Schizosaccharomyces pombe: one gene and its partners. Changing the gene in region 1 together with any one later gene gives a genetic interaction. Each region holds a gene or a part of one and is shown in the gene's direction. Other genes may lie near its edges. The genes, in order: ymr1, rud3, rga8 and omh6.

Region 1 (4,828 bases):
AGTAGAGCGCTAACTAATTTGATCAATAAGAATGAGAGTAATGATTCATTTATGGAAGACCTCAGGGACTTCAAGATTGCTATGCTTCCGAAAGAGACAGTCCAAGTTGTTCGTTCTCATCATCTGGACGATATTGTATTTGATCGAGTGTACAATGTTTCTACTAAGGCATTGTTTCATATTGTTTTTGGTGATAGAAGCACCGTGTTGTCTGGTGCTTACAATCTTCATGGAGTAGATGATGTCGAATTTTTACCATGGGGAAAAGATCCAAAAACCAATTTGAGTCGTCGATACATCAATTATAAGGTTTATAATTACGACCAAGAAGGTCAATGTCAATCTTACCACTATGAGGATTGCCAAATAATGGACGTCCGCAATGATTATCATTTATACATTATGACATGGCTTCATCACTCTTGGACTTTGCCTTATAGAGATTACTTTAAAATCGTGACAAAAACTTCTATATCTCACCTTAGAAGGGAGAAGTCTAGATTGCTCATATCTGTAGGCCTTGAATGGATCGTTAAACCTTTTGCTATATCAAAGGTTATTGAGGCTGAATGTAGAAAACTGGCTATCAAGTATATAAAAACGGAAGTCAACTTTTTGGAAAAGGCAACTAGAAGAGCAAGAAATCAGCCGCTTATTGCGATAATAAATCAATATGGAAGAGTAGGCGACTACAATGAATCGATGGTTTATCGAAGAAAAATACCTTTTAACTGTGAATTGAAAAACCTGTCAATTATCGATATTATTCGCAATAATTGGTGGCTTTTTCTTCAAGGATTGGCAATTGATCTACTAAAGCTGCCGTGGGCTGTCTTCCACATTTTCCTAAGATATTTATTTTCTCACTCATTTTTGGTTATTATTTTTGCTTGTTCGGTTATCTTGAACCTTTCTCTCATGTTTTGTTTTGGAGCTAAGTACTGGGATGAGCGACAGAATAACAAATTTGTCGGGCAAGTTTTCGATGAGTTTAAAAATATTGAAACTTCTGCTCGTTATGTTTATATGAAGGACGTTGATGATTTATTAGTCGGACTTCCTACTTATTTGCACCCCAACGTCACTTATCCAAGTGAATGGTAAGTTTGTTAGTAGTACCATGTAATTATAAATGTTGATTACATGTACATTATATTATCTTTTTTTTGTTATTATTATTATTCTAATCTTTTTACAGTTTACAATCATTTGCTTTAAAAAGTTCTCCTCAAAAAAGTCACTGGTTACGAAAACGGAATTATATTGCAGAAAAAAGAAAAAAAATATTGGAAAATTTGGCGTCTCTAAACTATTACGAATATATAATTCACGAGGATGCCGTATATCAATACATTCAACAAGAGCTGTTGGGATGTGACAAAGCAAGGGAATTTGATTTATACCCACCCTCGATGCAAAGGTATTGCGATTCTTGCACGCAAGATTGGAGGAACCGCACTTTGTTTTTCGGCAAAGACACTCTAGCTACAAGATTATTGACACTCGAGACTGTGGAAAACGCAGACTACGCTGCATAATTGTTAATGAAACTGTAACTTAATTATTTTTATTGTTATTTTATTATCTTTTTTATATTTAGGGTTTTATGAGTTATTTGATCAAGCACTCGTTTTTTTTTGTCAGATACACAAATTAATAAAGTTGAATTTATTAAACATATATATACCAAAGATAAGTGTAACTCCTCTACATCTTTCAGAATCGTCCTTTCTATTGTTTAATAAACAAGGTAATGATATGTCAAGTTGTAGCCTTGATAACCGCAATGATTACAGCCATGCACTTGGCAGCATTAATCGACAGCACCACCGTAAATAGTTTAAAACCTTCATCTATCTAAGTAGAACGCAATTACATTCTGCGCTAAACACATATTTAATTCTTTGTACTCATATTTTGTCACAGTACTTGATAGTACGAGGGTTGCTTCATTTTATTCAATTGCTTATAAAAAGAAGTTTCCGTGTGATGGAAAACATCAAAGTTGCAAAAGTAAGCATAATGCGATTAGATCTAAAACTTAATTTTATCAAAATATTAACAAATAGGTCGGAAATGTGAAGTTTGTGAACAAAGGAAACGAATTGAACGGAACATTGCATTTGACAGCGTATCATTCTATTTTTTCAATCTCGGAAAATGGGAAGGAAATTTGGACGGCATATTCCATGATAAATAATGTAAAGCTTTGCTCTAACGAAAAATCATTTTGTATACGTATACAATGCCGAGACTTTATGTTCTTTTGTTGGAGGTTTCAAAGCACGGAGGATGCGATGGACGTATACGACACTTTACAGGAATTGATGTCTATTAATTCAATAAATATGCTATACGCATTTTACTATATGCCCTCCGGAGATGAAGAGAAACTGCCATCTTCTTGGAAATCATTTCTACTTGAAAATGAATATAGGCGCATGGGAGTAGGTGATTCCACCCAAGCTGATGGTGCTGGCGGAAATTGGAGGATAACTAAAATTAACGAAAATTACTCTGAGTGCCATTCTTATCCGCAAGCTCTAGCCGTTCCCGCTAGCATTTCTGACAGTGTTATATATTATGGATGCAAATATAGATCTAAAAATCGATTTCCTACCCTTACGTATCTCCATAAAAATTCTGTAAGTTTTACTAACTTTGAGAGGCTTTAATACTAATTTATTTAGTTTTCAATTACGCGGGCCTCTCAACCCCTTGTGGGTATTCGTCAAAATCGAAGTGCACAGGATGAAAAACTTGTTGAAGCTATATTCGCAACATCAATCATTCCTGGAAAAGAAAATCTTATAGTTGATGCGAGGCCTTCTACTAATGCGATGGCTAACATTGCCGTAGGCGCTGGAAGCGAAAACATGGATCACTACCGTTTTGCAAAGAAGATATATCTTGGAATTGATAACATACACGTCATGAGGGATTCTTTAAATAAAATTGTGAATGCTCTTAAAAATACAGATATTAGTGCGGCACCTCCATTGATAGAACTCTTAAACAGATCAAGTTGGCTTAAGCACTTGGCTAACATTTTACAAGGAGCGGTTCTTATTGTTAAAACAGTTCATTTTAGGCATGCCCATGTACTTGTACATTGCTCAGATGGATGGGACAGAACTTCCCAGTTATGTGCTCTACCTCAATTGTGTTTGGATCCTTACTATAGAACAATTGAGGGATTTTTTGCTCTCGTCGAAAAGGATTGGCTTTCCTTCGGGCATAGGTTTGCAGAAAGATGTTGTCATTTACCTGGTAAACGTATTTTTACAATCGACAGCTCATACTCAGAAGAACCACCCCAATCTTCACCAAGTTCGACTTTACAATACACTTTTTCAACAGTACGCTCTGCTTTAAGTGGCTTCTCAATTGACCATTCCGAAAAAATGATGTCTCCGGTCTTTCATCAGTTTTTAGATTGCGTCTGGCAAATTATGGATCAATTTCCTAATTGTTTCGAGTTTAACGAGAGATTTTTACGCCGTCTACTTTACCATCTTTACTCTTGCCAATACGGTTCGTTCCTATACAACTCTGAACGGGAACGAGCTCAAGCATCCGTCAGCACTCATACTCGTTGTATCTGGGACTATTTCCTTTCTCGGAAGGATGAATTCAAGAATCCTAACTATGTACCTTATGATGATGTTATAATGCCTGATCCTTCATCGCTGAGATGGTGGTCAGCTTCTTTTGCTCAACCTGATGAAAACATGAATATCCCATCACCCTCCGAATCTCCGTCTTTATGAAACATTTACTTGAAAATCTTCATTGGACATTTTCCTTCCATTTTTGTCTTCATTGGAAGTTCTTTATTAATTCCTTTTTATGCTCATTTTAGCGCAATTTAGATTGATTGCATCTCTTTCTTTCTCTCTTTTTAGCCTCTCTTTTGCCTAATTCAACTTTTCATCATCGCATGTTGACTCCGATAATCTATCTACATGGACTTTTGCGAGAGACTATGAACGCATGAAGAGGACGACAGAGTCGTTTAATTTACTGATACATATTTTGAAAGTTTACGTCCCAAATCTTCCATTTATTTTGGTGATCCATGCTAAAATTTTTTTATCCCCTTTTATACGATTATCGCTTGGACTACGAATCCCGTTCCTATGATACTTTTATTTTATCAATTCTTCCAATGTTCTTCTACTCTACTCGTATAACGGACCATTCACTGCATTCTCATGCAATCACTTAACAAAGTTTGGTGTAGATATGCTAAGCGATGCTTATATATAGTATGTATGATTGCACATCTCATGATTGGTAGTTTAACAGCTGATCTTAAATGACTGCCCAGTAACGAGTTTTTTCAATATAATAGTGAGTGTTAGTAAGCCTTTCTAATTACTGCAGTAAGAAAGCTTTTGAAATTATAGTATTAGTTTTCATAACTTTAAATTTTTCTTTTCTTTTTTTTTTACTTTATTGTAAGATTCACATCGTACCAGATTTATCTATCTCATTTCGGAGCGTATAATTGCGTGTCGGTAATTTTCTATATAAGACCGATAGCCCGACAAGGACTTTTCCTTCACCAATACCCAACGAGTTGGATTTGTTGATTCATTCATCGTGCTCCTTCCTTTAAAACGATGGAGATGAATCAAACTGAGACTTTGATTCCTGCAGCCCGAAACGTTATTCGGGTGCTGGGATACGAAATTGAATATTCGAAATGGACAATTTGCTTCGCCCTTTTGGCTGTCTGCATTGCTTATGATCAAAGTATGTTAAAGATTGAGAATTATTTTTTTGTATCAACTGCTGCATAAATACCACGATGAAAAGCATCATT
Region 2 (3,790 bases), on another chromosome or scaffold:
AAGGCTTTCATAGCAAACATGAGTTTACGAATTTTTTTTTCCAAAATATAATACTGCCGATTTTTTATGTGGCTACTTCGCTTGTGACCAAGAGACCTTCTTCCTCTTGATAAAGAGTCGGAAGCGGATGAGGAGGAATCTGAGTCCCCTTCATGATGCCTCTTAAACCGTCCCATAGGAAAATGGTAGAAATATAAAGTAGATTGTGAGAAGGAAAACGGTGCTAAAAGAGACAGAAGTATCCAAGAATGCTGTATTGGGATCTACTTAAAAAATCGGTGTCAAAAATGGCCGAGAATTAAGTACGGAACAGAGTTCCGGTAAAAATATCGTCAGTAGAAGAAATGTGCAGTACCAGGATACTGTTCTAAGGGCCACAACGAAAAAGTTATTTACCCAAAATTACTTTACTTTGTGTTTTCTTTAGAAATATACCACAAACAGTAAAGAACAATCAAGAAGTAAAAAATGATCAGCACGAAAAGCTCCGTGTAATATACAAATGCAAAAAATCTTGTAACAAAACAATCAACCAAAAACAGCTCTCCAATGTGAAGAACACCTACCCAGCTAAGAAAAAAATGCAAAAAAAATGTTCTTCGAATAGCTGAATATAAAAAAATAAATATTTTTTACAGTGAAAAAAGTCTTTTTCAATGTTATAATCTTCAAATCTACCAATTAATGATATCTGAAGCAAATCGAAAATGCAGCGTAAAATCGAAATGTGATTAAAAACCGTATGTTGACCAAACCAAGGACCAGCAATCCTCCTTATTTGAAAGAAAGCTCTATCACCGTAGATGCAAGACAACGCTACTTACTTTGCAAAAACCCGAATGAAAAATAAACAATCTGAAATGCAAGTTCGTAGGAACTACCAAACCGTCAATATGAATAAGAAAACAACTCTTTTCTTTAAAAAGAATATGCAGACTCGTTCAACCTCATATGTGTGGGAGTTTGTTTATGTTGGGCAGTGAGGGACGAGAAAGGAGAAGGAAGAAAGAAACACTCTTTTTCCAACTTAGCGGTTTATTTCACCACGTTCGTTGGTTAACATGAGCAGAGAAAGAATAGGGGCGTACCGCAGCACAACGGTCAACAAAGTATGTTAATGTCAGCAATACTACACTACGCTATGATACACTACGTTGCGTATCACTATATGTCATATGTTGGAATACTAGCTAAGATCCGTTTATTGATAATCACGGGTAACTATCCGTCTATATACATAGATACCCGTTAATAACAACTATTTAGAAATATTATAAATAGCGTTACAACTGAACCTCGTTCCTCAGTTCAGTTATGAGCTATATTAGTGATAGGTAACATTATAACCCAGTTAATACAATACCTATACTCAGTTGCTACTTATACAACCTGTGTATTGTAATATAAATAGACCATAAGGAAAACTCACCGCAGTTCTACGTATCCTTAAATCAGATACCAAACTGCGTAGCTTACAGTTAAAGTTGAATACGTTGCTACTGTTTATTGTAGTAACAAATTTTAAAGCAAAAGGTTTAGTATTTCGTAAACCAAGTTAAAGGAATATTATCGAGGTTTATGGAAATGTTTACGAAAAGATGGATGTTTTAGGGCCACTCTAGAGCTCACTAATTCAATTTCCCATAATTTCTGGAATGGCAGAAAATGCAGGAAATGAAACAAAATTGGTGGAAAATGAGAATTTACAAGAGGATTTAAGTCGTTTGAACTTAGAAGATGAAAAAAATGAGCTCAAATTGAATGAAAAAGGCGGAGTTTTGAAAGAAAACGATGAACATTTAGAATGTTCAGAATCTTTCAAGAAATTGGCGGAGAAGGAGGAAGCTTATCAAACATTAAAGAATTCTTATAACTCATTGAAGCAGCAACACTCTAATTTACTCGGGAAGGTCTCGGGAATTAAGTCAACGTTGGGAGAAAGGCTTAAGAAGGATTCTCAAGAGTTAGCTCAAAATCGAAAACGAATTCAAGAGCTCGAAAAGTCTTTGGGCGATGCAGAGGAAGCACTTAAGTTGAGCAATGAAGAAACCGTAACCTTGACCGCACAAGTAGAAAGCTTAACGCAAGATATAACAGATTTGAGACAGCAAAATGCTTCGCTTGTTGAAGAAAATCAATTGTTATCGACTCAATCAAAACAATGGGAAAGAAGAGCCAGAGATGAACATGAGATGCAAGAATCATTGGCCGTTCGATTGGCAGATTGTGAAGAGCAGCTAGCTAGAGAAACTGAAAGACAAGAGCAGTATGAAGTTGAAATTCAACGTCATTTGACAAATCAGCATCAACTAGAAATTGAATTAGAATCCACCAAAGCTTCCCATACTGAAAACCTCGGTGAACTTACCAGAAATTGGCAGAAGGCCATGGACGACGTGACTGAGAAATTCGCTTCTAAATCAAAAGAGTACGAAGATTTGCAAAATGAGTTAGATGCTACACAGAAAAGGCTTTCAAGGGTCTCTGATTTGGAGCACGAGGTGAAAGAAAAAACCCTACTTATTGGTAAACTGCAGCACGAGGCCGTTGTTTTGAATGAACATCTTACAAAGGCTCTCTGCATGCTTAAAGATGGAAATAATGCAGAAAAAATTGACAAACAACTTATTTCTAATTTGTTTGTCTCCTTTTTGACGCTTCCTCGCGCTGACACTAAACGTTTCGAAATATTGCAATTAATTTCTTCCGTGTTAGATTGGAACGATACGCAAAGGGAACAAACGGGACTTCAACGTCCTGGTTCCTCTGTAAATAATTGGAGTATTCCTCACAGTGCGTCCTCTAACTCTCTATTCTCCGATCATTCCTTTTCCAAAAGACGTTCTTTCCATGACTCATAATTTTCTTCCACACTAACCGATAATTTTACGTTTCAATTGAGCAATGGTATGAAAGATTTTTCTTTTTTCTGTAAATAATAATATCTTTCGCTCTTTTTATGTATCGCTTTTTTTTTTCTTACTTCACAACTTAATTAGGGGTTACCTTTTGCCGCGCGTACAAGGTTTTAGTATTTTTTTACTCTCTTTTCACACATTTTGAAGGTTGACTATATCATTCTTGAAGTAATAGTTTCATACGTTCATTTTGATATTTTGCCTTCTCCTGCTATGCCTAGCTTTATGGCAAAAGCGCTTGTTGCAATTTCATCTATTAGTCAATATTCTTAATTTTCAAAATTGTTTGTTAATATCAGTTTTTTCGAAGAATTTTAAAAATATCATTTTATTTTAATCACTCAGGTCATAGTTATGGTCTGTATTACTAGTATGCAAAAGCAACATAGCTATATGCAAAGTAACTAATCATTATGAAGACATTATTATGAAAATTTATTTTTCGGCTCATTAGAATCCTTCTTTATCTGTGTAAAAACACCATCACGAAACCATTTGTTGGCCTCTTCTACTTTTTGTTGTCGTTGAAGTAAGGGGTTCACTAGTTCAATGCCTTGAATAGGTGTGAAGGATAATGAACTTTGTAAACCGCTTGCAGCAAGGGGATTCTTCTGTGCCATTGATTGTAGTTGGGCCTTCCGCGCTTTTGGTAACCGTAATTTAGTTCGAGAATCAATTGACACTGCACGAATTTTTCCTTCACCTTCTTGACCAAGCATACCAAGACCTTCCGTTTCGTCAAAATTAAAGACTTCCGCCTCCTCCTTACCAAAGGCGACGCGATTCTGTAATCTCCGCAATTCCGTTACGGCATATTGCTCTTTCATCTTGCGAATTCTTCTTCCTCCACGACGACGTTTTGGCCTATCGTC
Region 3 (6,225 bases), 1.9 Mb from region 1:
CCCTTATGTATTTTTTCGCGAGTGTCGTGCCAAATATGGTGATGTTTTCACCTTTGTTTGCATGGGTCGTAAAATGACCGCTTTCCTTGGTGTCCAAGGTAATGATTTCCTCTTTAACGGTAAATTAGCTGATTTGAATGCTGAAGAAGCTTACTCTCATTTAACTACCCCTGTATTCGGTAAAGATGTCGTTTACGATATTCCCAACCATGTTTTTATGGAGCACAAGAAGTTTATCAAATCTGGTCTTGGCTTCTCTCAATTCCGCTCTTATGTCCCCCTCATTCTTAACGAAATGGATGCTTTTCTCAGCACTTCTCCTGACTTCGGACCTGGTAAGGAAGGCGTTGCTGATTTGCTGAAGACCATGCCTGTCATGACTATTTACACTGCTTCTCGTACTTTACAAGGTGCTGAGGTTCGCAAGGGCTTTGACGCTGGTTTCGCTGACTTGTACCATGACCTTGATCAAGGATTTAGCCCTGTTAACTTTGTTTTCCCTTGGTTACCTCTCCCTAGAAACAGACGCCGTGATAGAGCCCACAAAATTATGCAAAAAACTTATCTTAAAATTATTAAAGATCGTCGCTCTAGCACTGAAAATCCTGGTACTGATATGATTTGGACTTTGATGAGCTGCAAGTATAGAGATGGCCGTCCTTTGAAGGAACATGAAATTGCTGGTATGATGATTGCACTTTTGATGGCTGGTCAACACACCTCTGCTGCCACTATCGTTTGGGTTCTTGCTCTTTTGGGTAGCAAACCTGAAATCATTGAAATGTTGTGGGAAGAGCAGAAGCGTGTTGTAGGTGAAAACTTGGAATTGAAGTTTGACCAATATAAGGACATGCCTCTTCTCAACTATGTTATTCAAGAAACTCTTAGACTCCATCCCCCTATCCACAGTCATATGCGTAAAGTCAAACGTGACTTACCCGTCCCTGGTTCAAAGATTGTTATCCCTGCCAACAACTATCTTCTTGCTGCTCCCGGTTTAACTGCTACTGAAGAGGAATACTTCACTCATGCTACTGACTTTGACCCCAAGCGCTGGAATGACCGCGTCAATGAAGACGAAAATGCTGAGCAAATTGATTATGGTTATGGTCTCGTTACAAAGGGTGCTGCTTCTCCATACCTACCCTTTGGAGCTGGTCGTCATCGTTGCATTGGTGAGCAATTTGCCTACATGCATTTGAGCACTATTATTAGCAAGTTTGTACACGATTACACCTGGACTCTTATTGGAAAAGTTCCCAACGTTGACTATTCCAGTATGGTTGCTCTTCCCTTGGGTCCTGTTAAAATTGCTTGGAAGCGTCGTAATTAAGGGAATTTCCCCTAATTTGAATGCATTTGCAATACGCTTATGGTATTGGTTTCTAACTTTGGTTCCGCCTTTCTCTTTTCATGCCCGTGTTAAACGTTTTTGTTTTATCTGACGAGTAACGAATAACCATGAAATTTGCTAGACATTTTAAATTTTAAGTGCTTTATTGTTTTATGAAATTGTAAATATTTTAGCGTTTTAAATGACTATTTGGTAGCATTTCAAATGTCAAAAGAATGTATTATGCAATTTCAAACTTCCTTATCCTCGCACTAAATCGATATGAAAACTACCCTGTCATCATTAGTGATACATTTTTACGATATTATAGTTTTAATAACGTCGGGACGCTCTCTTTCGTTTTCATGTAGGCATTATAACAATAAAGTACGCTACTCTCTCTTTTCAAAACCTCATCGTGCAAACGCAAGGTTTCTCAGTAAGCTATTAATTAAAATTTTGTAGTTTTTAATTGTACCATCGATCCAACCATAGCATTAATAATACAAAGTGGGTAAAAGCGTAGGCTGCTATTCAACTGAATGAAGTTTACATTTTATAAAGGATTAGTGGTATGCTATCTTATGTGTGTCAAGTAACGTATCTGTTGTCTTATTTACTGGATACTTTTGGCATCCTTGATGGGTAAAACTTTTCTGCGTAGCAATTCGCTATTTACTTAAGTTGAGTAATAAAGGGCGTAGACATGTCAACCACCTCTATATTTCTTGACAGGTTGTGACAGTTTCAGTCTCGAATTGAAATGATATCGAGCTTTTCAAATGGTTTTTGGAGTAAAGACTACGCGACTGGTGTGAAAAAACTTTTCGATTGCCTGGATAATGGAGTTGAAGAGAATGAGCAAGGTATTTAAATAAATTAATATAGGACTTCCTCTAACAACGAATAGTAAAAAACTTGTTGAAGTTATATAAAGAAGCGAATGAGGAATTTGGTGAAAAGCTTCAAGAAATAACGAAAGAATGTCTAAAAGGGAAAAAGCCAGAGAATACAGAAGACGGTGCTACTTCTAACAAGGCTTTTGAAGGGTTGCGCTCCGAGATTGCTAATCAAGGAAAGCAACATATTCGTATTGCCAAGGACTTAGAAACGCTAATTATTGCTCCTTTCTCTAAAATGTCTATTGATCATTCTCAGAAGTTACAAACCAGCCAACAAGTTCTTACCAATCAAATAAAGAGTTATGAAAAGAAATACTATACACTTAAAAAAACAAAAAGCGCTTACTACAACAAATGTAGAAACCTTGAAGATTATGAAGAAGAATCAAAGGAGTCCAATGAAACTACTAGTGAGGCTATTACTGACTTAACAACAGTTTCTAGTCCACAGCAGCAATCATTGTTGGAAAATGATGATGATCTGATTCAACTTGGTTTTATGGAGTTTAGGCCTGAGGAGTTAAAAGAGGTTTTGGCTCAAGTATTACAAGAAATACCCTTACAGGATTATCGCGTCCCTATCTTAGGTACTTACCCTAATACATGTTCAGGAAATATTATTGTTTCTTGGCTTCAGGAAAATCTTCCTGTTCCAACTTTAGTTGCAGCCGAGGCATTTGGACAAGATTTGATAGCTCAAGGATTTTTGCGTCATATGGGCGTTGGAGGTAGTTTTGTGAATAGTACCAACTTCCATTATCAGTGGAAAGACAAGGCTTTCCAGTTTGCAGGACTGAATAGTGTAGATAGTCTTGTCGAAAACGCCAAGGCTTTACCATTAGTTGGTGAATATCTTTCTGATTATATAAGTCATCGAAAGCTTTACTCTTCAGAAACTCAATCTCAACGTCTTAAAAGAGAAGTTCTGGATGCAAATAAAATTTACAGCGAATCAGTCGTTGATCTTGATAAATGCCGCACACTTGTGGAAGAAACTATTGCTGATCATTTGCAATTTCTTCAAAAATGTGAAACCGATCGCGTTCTTTATTATAAAGATTTTTTTATGGATTTATCAACAATTATTTCGAACTTTTTGCCTTCCATGAAATTGCTGGCTGATCAGATTGTTGTTTATCAGGAAATAATTCAACCTGAGAGTGACATTAGGTATATTTTAGAGTCTGCAGCTACTGGTCCATTTTTACCTCGTGTCGAAATATATGAGGATTATTATAATGATATTAAAGATCAGATTTTTGGAGTGGACGTTGAGTTTTTGTCTCATAGAGATAAGAAACGTGTTCCCATAATCGTTAGTACGATCCTTTCTTATTTAGATCTGTTATATCCTACGCTTGCCTCTGATGAAGTTCGTCAAAATATATGGCTTGTTAATTCTCCCTTGTCTTCTGTACATCAACTTCGAGAAGCGTTGAATCATTCTTCATCCGTGACAAAGGAGGTTTTATCACAGTATACTCCCTCCGTTGTGATAGGAGTTTTGAAGCTATACTTTCTTGAACTCCCTGATTCCATCGTTCCTTCTTCTGCTTTTGAGCTTATTCGTTCAATTTACATGAATCATAGTAATGATACGCCGTACAGGTTGAGACTTTTACAAAATCTTTTATCCCAACTTCGACGTGTTAATCTTGCTACTTTGAGTGCCATCATTACTCATCTAAATCGCTTGATTACGCTTACTCCAAATAAAGAAACTTTTACTATAAATTTAGCTAACTCCTTATCTTTATGCATTTCCCGTCCAGCAACATGGAATTTGGGTATTCAACATGATAAGCACCCAACGAAGTTCATGGAGGATCTTTTAACTTACGGACCAAGTATTTTTGAAGAACTCAGAAAATTGAATTCATCCAAACGTGTTTCTGACCGTGTATTATATCAATCTTCTGCTACTCCTCGGAGTACAGATGTATCACCAACTAGACCAGACTCCATTTCTTCTGTCCGATCTCATACTGCTGTCGAATCTCCAAGATCTTCGTTTGAGGAGCTGCAACCTTCAGAAATTCCCGCTGAATCTGAATTTACTCTTGAAAATGTGCCCACCTCATTGATCAGATCGTCGTATGCCTTGAATACTAGAAAGACAAGACGTAATTTCAGCCATTCTTCTGCTTCCAATGAAAGTGCCGCAATCTTTATTGATCAGGATGCAAAGATAGTGAACGAAGCAGTCGCCTCAAGAGATTCCAGTTTAAGTGGTAGTTAAAAATATGTTATTATGAGTTAACCTATGATCTTTTTTAAAGATCAGTTATGGATATCTTATTTGCATGACATGTTGCACATTCTTTTCTCATTATTCATTGCATATACCTAATAAACATTTTTCTCTATAGAAGTTTGACCACCATATATTATTGTACCTTCCTATTTTACTAGACTAAATTAGCATTCCTATACTATTTCAGAGTGTAATAGCAACTGTTCACGATTCCATATTCTTATTTTTTCCAAAAACTCGTCAAATTTTTCTTCACCTTGCATAAATGTTGATAAATCGTGCATGCTTAAACCTATCCGATGATCAGTTACTCGATTTTGGTTGAAGTTATAAGTTCGTAGCTTTTCCGAACGATCTGAAGACGTTACTTGATTTTTACGTTTCAGTCTTTCAGCCTCATTTTCTTTTGCGGCATTTAAGGCAGCCAATCTTGAATTCAGTACAAGAAATGCCTTTTCTTTGTTTTGATGCTGAGAACGAGAATCTTGCATGCTAACAGTGATACCAGTGGGTATGTGTGTTAAACGTACGGCGGATTCTGTTCTATTAACGTGTTGTCCACCGGCTCCACGAGATCTCATTACTTCGATTTTAACTTCAGATGAATCGTAAAGAGAAGAGGATTCATCATTTGACACCTGAGGTAAAACGATTACTGATGCAGTACTCGTATGAACTCTTCCTTTAGTTTCGGTAGCAGGAGTCCTCTGAACCCTATGAACACCTCCTTCCAACATAAGATGACCATAAGCTCCCTCACCTTCAATAGAGAAGATGGCCTCCGTTATCGCTTCAAGTCCTTGGACTGCACTTTTTGATATAAATTTGCAATTCCATCCTTTAAAATTTGCATACTGAAAATACATTTCCACTAGTTCATTTGCAAATATTGCGGCCTCTGTTCCTCCTACACCAGGACGAATTTCGATTAATGCAGGAAGAGCATATGAATCAGCTTGTGGAAGTAATGTGTTTTCAAGATCTTCTATGCTTTTTGGTATTTTATTACTTATTTCGTTTATTTCAGTCACTGCCATCATTTTAACCTCTGCATCTGACTCTTGGGCCTCCATTTGTTTCAAATCGCTTATTTGCTAAATTGTTAGAATTTTTTTAAATCAAGGTTTTCAAAAACTAGTTATTTAAGTATTTCAACATGCTCATCAAATAGCTTTACTTAGATAAACAGTAAATGCCTGGCAAAAGTCTTAAGTTATAGACCCATTAGCAAAAAAAAACCATTGTAAATCGATTACTATAAATAGGAAGAGTAATAAAAAAAAGGAAAGCTTTTGACTACAAGTTTGAGACAAATTCGTCTTATATCATACCTCAGACAAACTTTTAAATTTCGAATATGCATTATGAACGCGTCGAAGCCTAGCGATTCGCTTTGCTAAATCTGTATCGTTTGTCATTGCCGATTGATCCTAAAAGATATAAGTTAGATCATTTATATCAGATTTTAATTTTTCATGAGTAAAGCTTAATGTCCGGTATGCTTGTATTACCATTATTATTGTATCTCGAACAGTAGCAGGCTGATTTCACACTTTGTTTGCCGACACTTACTTTATTATTTACTTGATGGAATTGAAGATACTCTGAAGAAAGCGATCGGGCTTTTTCAATAAGTACTCTTGAAACGTTATGCTCAGAGTATCCTTTTTTGCAAGCAATGCTACGAATTTGATATTCAATTCCATGTCTAAAGTACCATAAAACTTTTTTAGTTA
Region 4 (4,887 bases), 910 kb from region 1:
GGTTGGATTGGATTGTGGAAAATTTGGACCATACTGTTTATGTAGATTCTATCACACCACCAGTGTTTGTGATAGATCACTCGAAAGGCGTAATCTATGTGAGTGACAGAAACGGCAACTCACTTACGTTAGAAGAAGATTCTCTATTTTCCACATTAAGGATTATATTAGAGCACCCTAACTCATCTCGTCTTCAAAAACTGCGTGCACCGGGCCTATGTCCAAACGGTAGCCCCAATTACAGGAATAGATACAAACTTATAGTTTTTAATTTGCTCATTGCTTTACTAATATTGAGCATCCTGACAATTATTTCAGCTAGCAGGCTTTCCCGTCGGCGTCGACAACTGCTGAACAAGCAACCAGTTTTTGGTTTTTATCATTCGCTTGTAATTGCCAAATCAGACTGAAATGTTGACAATTCAACGACCTAGTAAACGATGAAAAGGAGCGAAAGGTTTTTTTTATATACTCTCTTAGGGTAGCATTTCTAAATCATTTATTGCTAATACACTTGTGATGTTGCTACAAACAGCCCACAAAACTGATTGTTAAAAACTTTGTAGTCCATTTAATTTGACAAGGACTTATACACGAAAACAAAGTACCTCAAAATATGACGAGAATATTATCATTAAAAATTCAGTTTAAGTATACAAAATACCATACTGGCAACCTACCTCAAACGGTCAAGCTGTACAAACGAAAACTACATCGACAGGTCAGCCTGTTTCTCATCAAAACATCACAACGCCCATTTTTATTTGTTCATTAACAGCGAATTGGAAGTTTAAAAAATTCAGTTTTAAATGACAAAGTAAAATTGTAATAAAATAATTAATCGTATTCATACACATGATTAAACTATCATAAAAGAAGAACTACCCAAATGAAAAATGTCAACTGTATGGTTTTACCCAACTGCAAGGATCCAGAGATCATGTAGCGAAAGATTTAGGAATATACAGTTGTCAGAGGATCAACCAATTCCTCTCCAAAGGAGAAGGATCAGGATCACTCCAATCGTTTTAGAATCTGTTGGCTAGGCTACGCAGCATCCTTTAGTCAATTTTCATGGCAAGACGCCAACTCTCAACCTGCAGTCGAAACTGCAAGGACAATCGCCGCCCTGTCTGTACTCTTGTCAACCTCTACACGCCAACCATGTTACACGCAAGATTCTCGAAAGAATCTGAACAATGTAACTTCAGATTCATGATAGGTTATAACGAAGTGCAAACGAGACTTTATATAGTTTGTTGAAAATTACAACCCTAACCCTAGTGACTGTTTTACCCTTAGTAGTCTAGGAATTTTGGTGTTTCCAGAAAGCAAAAAAAAAGGCTCGTTAAAATAAGATTGTGCATTATGAACAACCACAGTATATAATTTGATCGAAAGTAGTGAATTAGTTTGCAGATATTGGGAAAATGTCTTAAGATACATATGCCACTTGGGTTTATGAAATATTATTTTATAACATTTTACTGAGTTTGTATTCTAGAACAGCTGAAGCTTTCCTATACTTAAACTTATTGCTTTTGTTTACATTCATCAGCAACAATGAATTGTTTAATAGACATTAAAAACCATTATAAAAGACGAATGCAAATTTTATAATTCCTTTGATAGAACTTAAATATTCCAACAGTAATAACAGCTCGACATAGCGACTATCAGTACGCTTATGCAAATGTCATTTATAAGATTATGCTCGTTAGCAGATTCTTTCAGTGATCTACCCATCAAACATTGTATACAAAAATTGATTTGCTAAAAATAAATATTTATACTCAAAGAGCTCTCTTTTCTAAGGTCAAATCTCTAGCAGGGTATTAACATTTGCCCTTAACCATTGTCTTAGGCAATTTCAGTTAAATTCCTTCAAATCCACTTTCTATGCGTTACTTTTGGAGTCATACGTTAGTTGAACTAGTTACTTCTCATAACAGGGAAAGTTCTGCTCGTGTTTAAGCTTCATTATGTTTTACGAACTTTTACTTTCCATACTACCAATTGTATTTACCTGGTTGAATGGATTCTCTGTAAATGAACCCAACAATGTATATGTGATTCTTAATGAACCTCAAAGCTCCAATTTGAGTGCTTCTTTTCTGATGTTTACCGCGTACGGTGCCATTTGAGATGTACTTTCTAATTCTGTTTTCTAGTAATGCTGAACTTGGGGAAGTGTTGCGCACGATGCGTAGCGTAGAGGATAGATTTAATAAGAGGTTTCATTATCCTTGGACGTTTTACGGCATGGATGAGTTTACGGAATACTTTATGAGTACGACAAGCACGATTGCGTCTGGTCATTGTGAATACGGTACGAAGGGAATAACTTATACCAATCATTTACAATTTATTCTAACTATCTCTTACTTAGTGCATTGGGATCTTTCTCAAGTAAAACCCCTAGTTGAAAACAATCGACTTTATCAACAACGAGCAGATGCACTTGCTCAAGAGAATCTATCTTACGTATACTCTCCTTTGTTTCACAGTTTTCAAGATTGGGTAGTTCGATCTTTATTATATCATCCTCAATTGGAATACGATTATGTTTGGAGAATAGAACCCGGGCTCAAATTGGTTTGTGAAGAAAAAAAGTAAGAAACTCGGTAAAACTTGTTTATTTCGTTCTTCTTTTTCAGGAAACCTAACTAATATTTTTGTTCAGAGATATATTTTCTACTTTCAAAGACAGCGACATTGTATTTACAAACCACGTCTGTGAACGTAAACACTCTGGTATATATGCTATGGAAGAGGCAATTGAAGAATACAAAATTTTAAACACTCAAGGAGATTTCAGCAATATCTGGGTTTATAGTAACAACTACACCTATTGTAAATACTGGCCTTTTAATGAAATTTTATCTCTAAAGCAAATTCGGCATAATCAGACCTACACCAACCTAATTAATTACTTGCTTGGTTCAGGAGGAACATATTATCATCGCTGGAGTAAGTAAATTGCTTCTTCAATTTTGGAAATGACTTTATTTAACCTGTTTCTAATATAAATGCTTCACGTTGTACTTTTTGCTGACATTTATTTAGCCGAGTCTGATATCCTTTCAGCAGCATTTGGTGTTTTAAGAGCGCGTGCTAATCATATGGAATCAGTGGGATTTTTCTTAAACGATGATGTTCATTATTGCCCAGAAACTATTCCATACACAGGAAGATGTGCATGTTTGTGATATTAATTGATGAATGAGCTTTACAGAAAATTTTTGTTCATACGAATTTGTTTTATGAAAGTTATTGTAATATGTGCATTTTCATTTACAAACGTTGAGACACTTGAAGTGAAAAATTAATCTGGTAGTGGTAAAATTATAGCGTTGTCTTTCCGTTTTTCAATCCTAATCAATAAATATGTATATATCATGTGTTTATTCTTCATCATTTTGCCTTGGTTTTATAAGTCCATCGGTGATCTTGTAATATACTATCGTTGAGTCAGAACACATGATTCCCAGGTATAGGAAAAACTCATCTCCAGAAAGACCTCGAGCATCCTTTACAAGTGGAAGGCTCAGTTTCTTCATAGAATCGAAAACAGAGGACAGAAACTCGATCGAAATTGTCTCTTGGAGGTAAAGCGGCAGAACATATTGCAATTTGTCTTTGAGCTGTCCATTTACGGGAATCCCTGAGAGTAAAGGCCTTTTTGTTTTTAAGTCAATATCAAGAACATGTACCTTTAATTCACACCAACGTTGACCGAGCCTTAAGTCGGTTTCCACTGCTCTCAGTATTCCATAGTATGGATTTTGCTTTTGCTCTTCTACAGCATCGTTAGGGAGAAATGTATTATGTTGCATGTGTATTTGTTTATAATAAATATATCTTTACTTTTGAGAAGGAAAATTTTGTTGAAAAAATGAATTATCGCCTCCGTGATAAAACTTTTAACTTCAACCAAATGGCACAGAAAAGGAACAAGCAGTCAAAAAAGCCTAAACAGACTTCAAAAGGAGTTAAGAAATCCTCAAAACAAAACAAAAACTCCTCTAAAAACAACAAATACCAACAAAACGTCCTTTTACAGAGTATTGATGATTACAACACTACGCAGAGCGTACTAAGAAGTGCTCATAATAGCGGTTCGAAGATGAGCGATATATCCAATTCGATCCAGCTTCTTTCCATGACCAAAAAGCAGGAGAATTAATTCCTGAGCTATTTTCGTTTCATGGTTCATTTCGCAGTTTTGGCATTGGCCATTGTCTGAACTTATAATGTTTTTACTGGGTTTCGGGTTTACTTTTAAAATTTTCTTGTTTTTATTTTGCATACTTAATTTTTATGAAATTTTATTTTATTATACTTGTATTATTTGTAAATAATTGTGGTTTGTATCTAATTGTGTTAGTAGTAGTTTCTGATTTTTTACAATAAGAACGCACAAATCCTATTCCTAGAACTACATTCCACCTGCCCTCAACCTAAACCTACTGTTGGGTCATAGAATCGAAGTCGAACGTAGTGTTTGAATTTTTTAACTATCACTTCGTTTACATAATACATTTGTGTAAAAATTGAAGGGTTTCTAACTTTTTGACTAAGGGAGATACCTAAATTTTGGAAAGAATTGTTTATTAGAAAACTGCTTCATTTTTTTTGTATAATCAGGCCTAAAAAGAAAAAAAAATCTTTTTTCCTCACTAATATCTTTACTTAGTTAGCATTATGTCTGCTCAAAAGTTGAATTTGGAGGATGTTAATGCTTCTACAAAAAAATATTCTAGAGGGCGCAAGCTGAATCCAAAGAAAATCAAGGATAAAAAGCTTCGAAGCAATATTCAGAAAATCGAGGAGAGAATTGAGAATGTTGAGTCTTCCTTGGCGAAAACCGAAATCTTACATGAAGAT

The links.
Region 2: mutations in ymr1 (region 1) and rud3 together harm fitness more than expected from each alone (negative genetic interaction), as found in Schizosaccharomyces pombe (one large-scale study listed by BioGRID).
Region 3: mutations in ymr1 (region 1) and rga8 together harm fitness more than expected from each alone (negative genetic interaction), as found in Schizosaccharomyces pombe (one large-scale study listed by BioGRID).
Region 4: mutations in ymr1 (region 1) and omh6 together harm fitness more than expected from each alone (negative genetic interaction), as found in Schizosaccharomyces pombe (one large-scale study listed by BioGRID).

The regions. Positions count from the first base shown.
Region 1 is NC_003424.3:2,481,908-2,486,735, reverse strand, and holds ymr1 (myotubularin family phosphatidylinositol-3-phosphatase), read left to right. Parts: upstream 1-1,819; 5' UTR 1,820-1,989; coding exon 1,990-2,013; intron 2,014-2,069; coding exon 2,070-2,645; intron 2,646-2,690; coding exon 2,691-3,770; 3' UTR 3,771-4,328; downstream 4,329-4,828. Other genes in the region: ltc2 (BAR and PH domain-containing protein), read left to right, coding at 1-1,100, 1,199-1,538; C-22 sterol desaturase Erg5, read left to right, coding at 4,626-4,758.
Region 2 is NC_003423.3:738,620-742,409, forward strand, and holds rud3 (golgin protein Rud3), read left to right. Parts: upstream 1-1,643; 5' UTR 1,644-1,655; coding exon 1,656-2,861; 3' UTR 2,862-3,257; downstream 3,258-3,790. Other genes in the region: double-strand-specific ribonuclease Pac1, read right to left, coding at 1-176; U4/U6 x U5 tri-snRNP complex subunit Prp31, read right to left, coding at 3,344-3,790.
Region 3 is NC_003424.3:570,243-576,467, reverse strand, and holds rga8 (putatiRho-type GTPase-activating protein Rga8), read left to right. Parts: upstream 1-2,044; 5' UTR 2,045-2,096; coding exon 2,097-2,199; intron 2,200-2,243; coding exon 2,244-4,474; 3' UTR 4,475-4,662; coding exon of another isoform or gene 4,663-5,583; 3' UTR 5,584-5,715; downstream 5,716-6,225. Other genes in the region: erg11 (sterol 14-demethylase), read left to right, coding at 1-1,333; mrf1 (peptide chain release factor), read right to left, coding at 4,663-5,583, 5,821-5,919, 6,062-6,225. UniProt on the Schizosaccharomyces pombe protein: Acts in signal transduction. Negatively regulates the pak1/shk1 control pathway.
Region 4 is NC_003424.3:3,391,208-3,396,094, reverse strand, and holds omh6 (alpha-1,2-mannosyltransferase Omh6), read left to right. Parts: upstream 1-1,850; 5' UTR 1,851-2,145; coding exon 2,146-2,612; exon of another isoform or gene 2,613-2,683; coding exon 2,684-2,970; intron 2,971-2,988; exon of another isoform or gene 2,989-3,066; coding exon 3,067-3,209; 3' UTR 3,210-3,404; coding exon of another isoform or gene 3,405-4,186; 3' UTR 4,187-4,345; downstream 4,346-4,887. Other genes in the region: pdi4 (protein disulfide isomerase), read left to right, coding at 1-410; tRNA-splicing endonuclease subunit Sen15, read right to left, coding at 3,405-3,836; SPOM_SPAC959.11 (uncharacterized protein), read left to right, coding at 3,821-4,186; U3 snoRNP-associated protein Utp7, read left to right, coding at 4,705-4,887. UniProt on the Schizosaccharomyces pombe protein: Probable mannosyltransferase involved in O-glycosylation of cell wall and secreted proteins.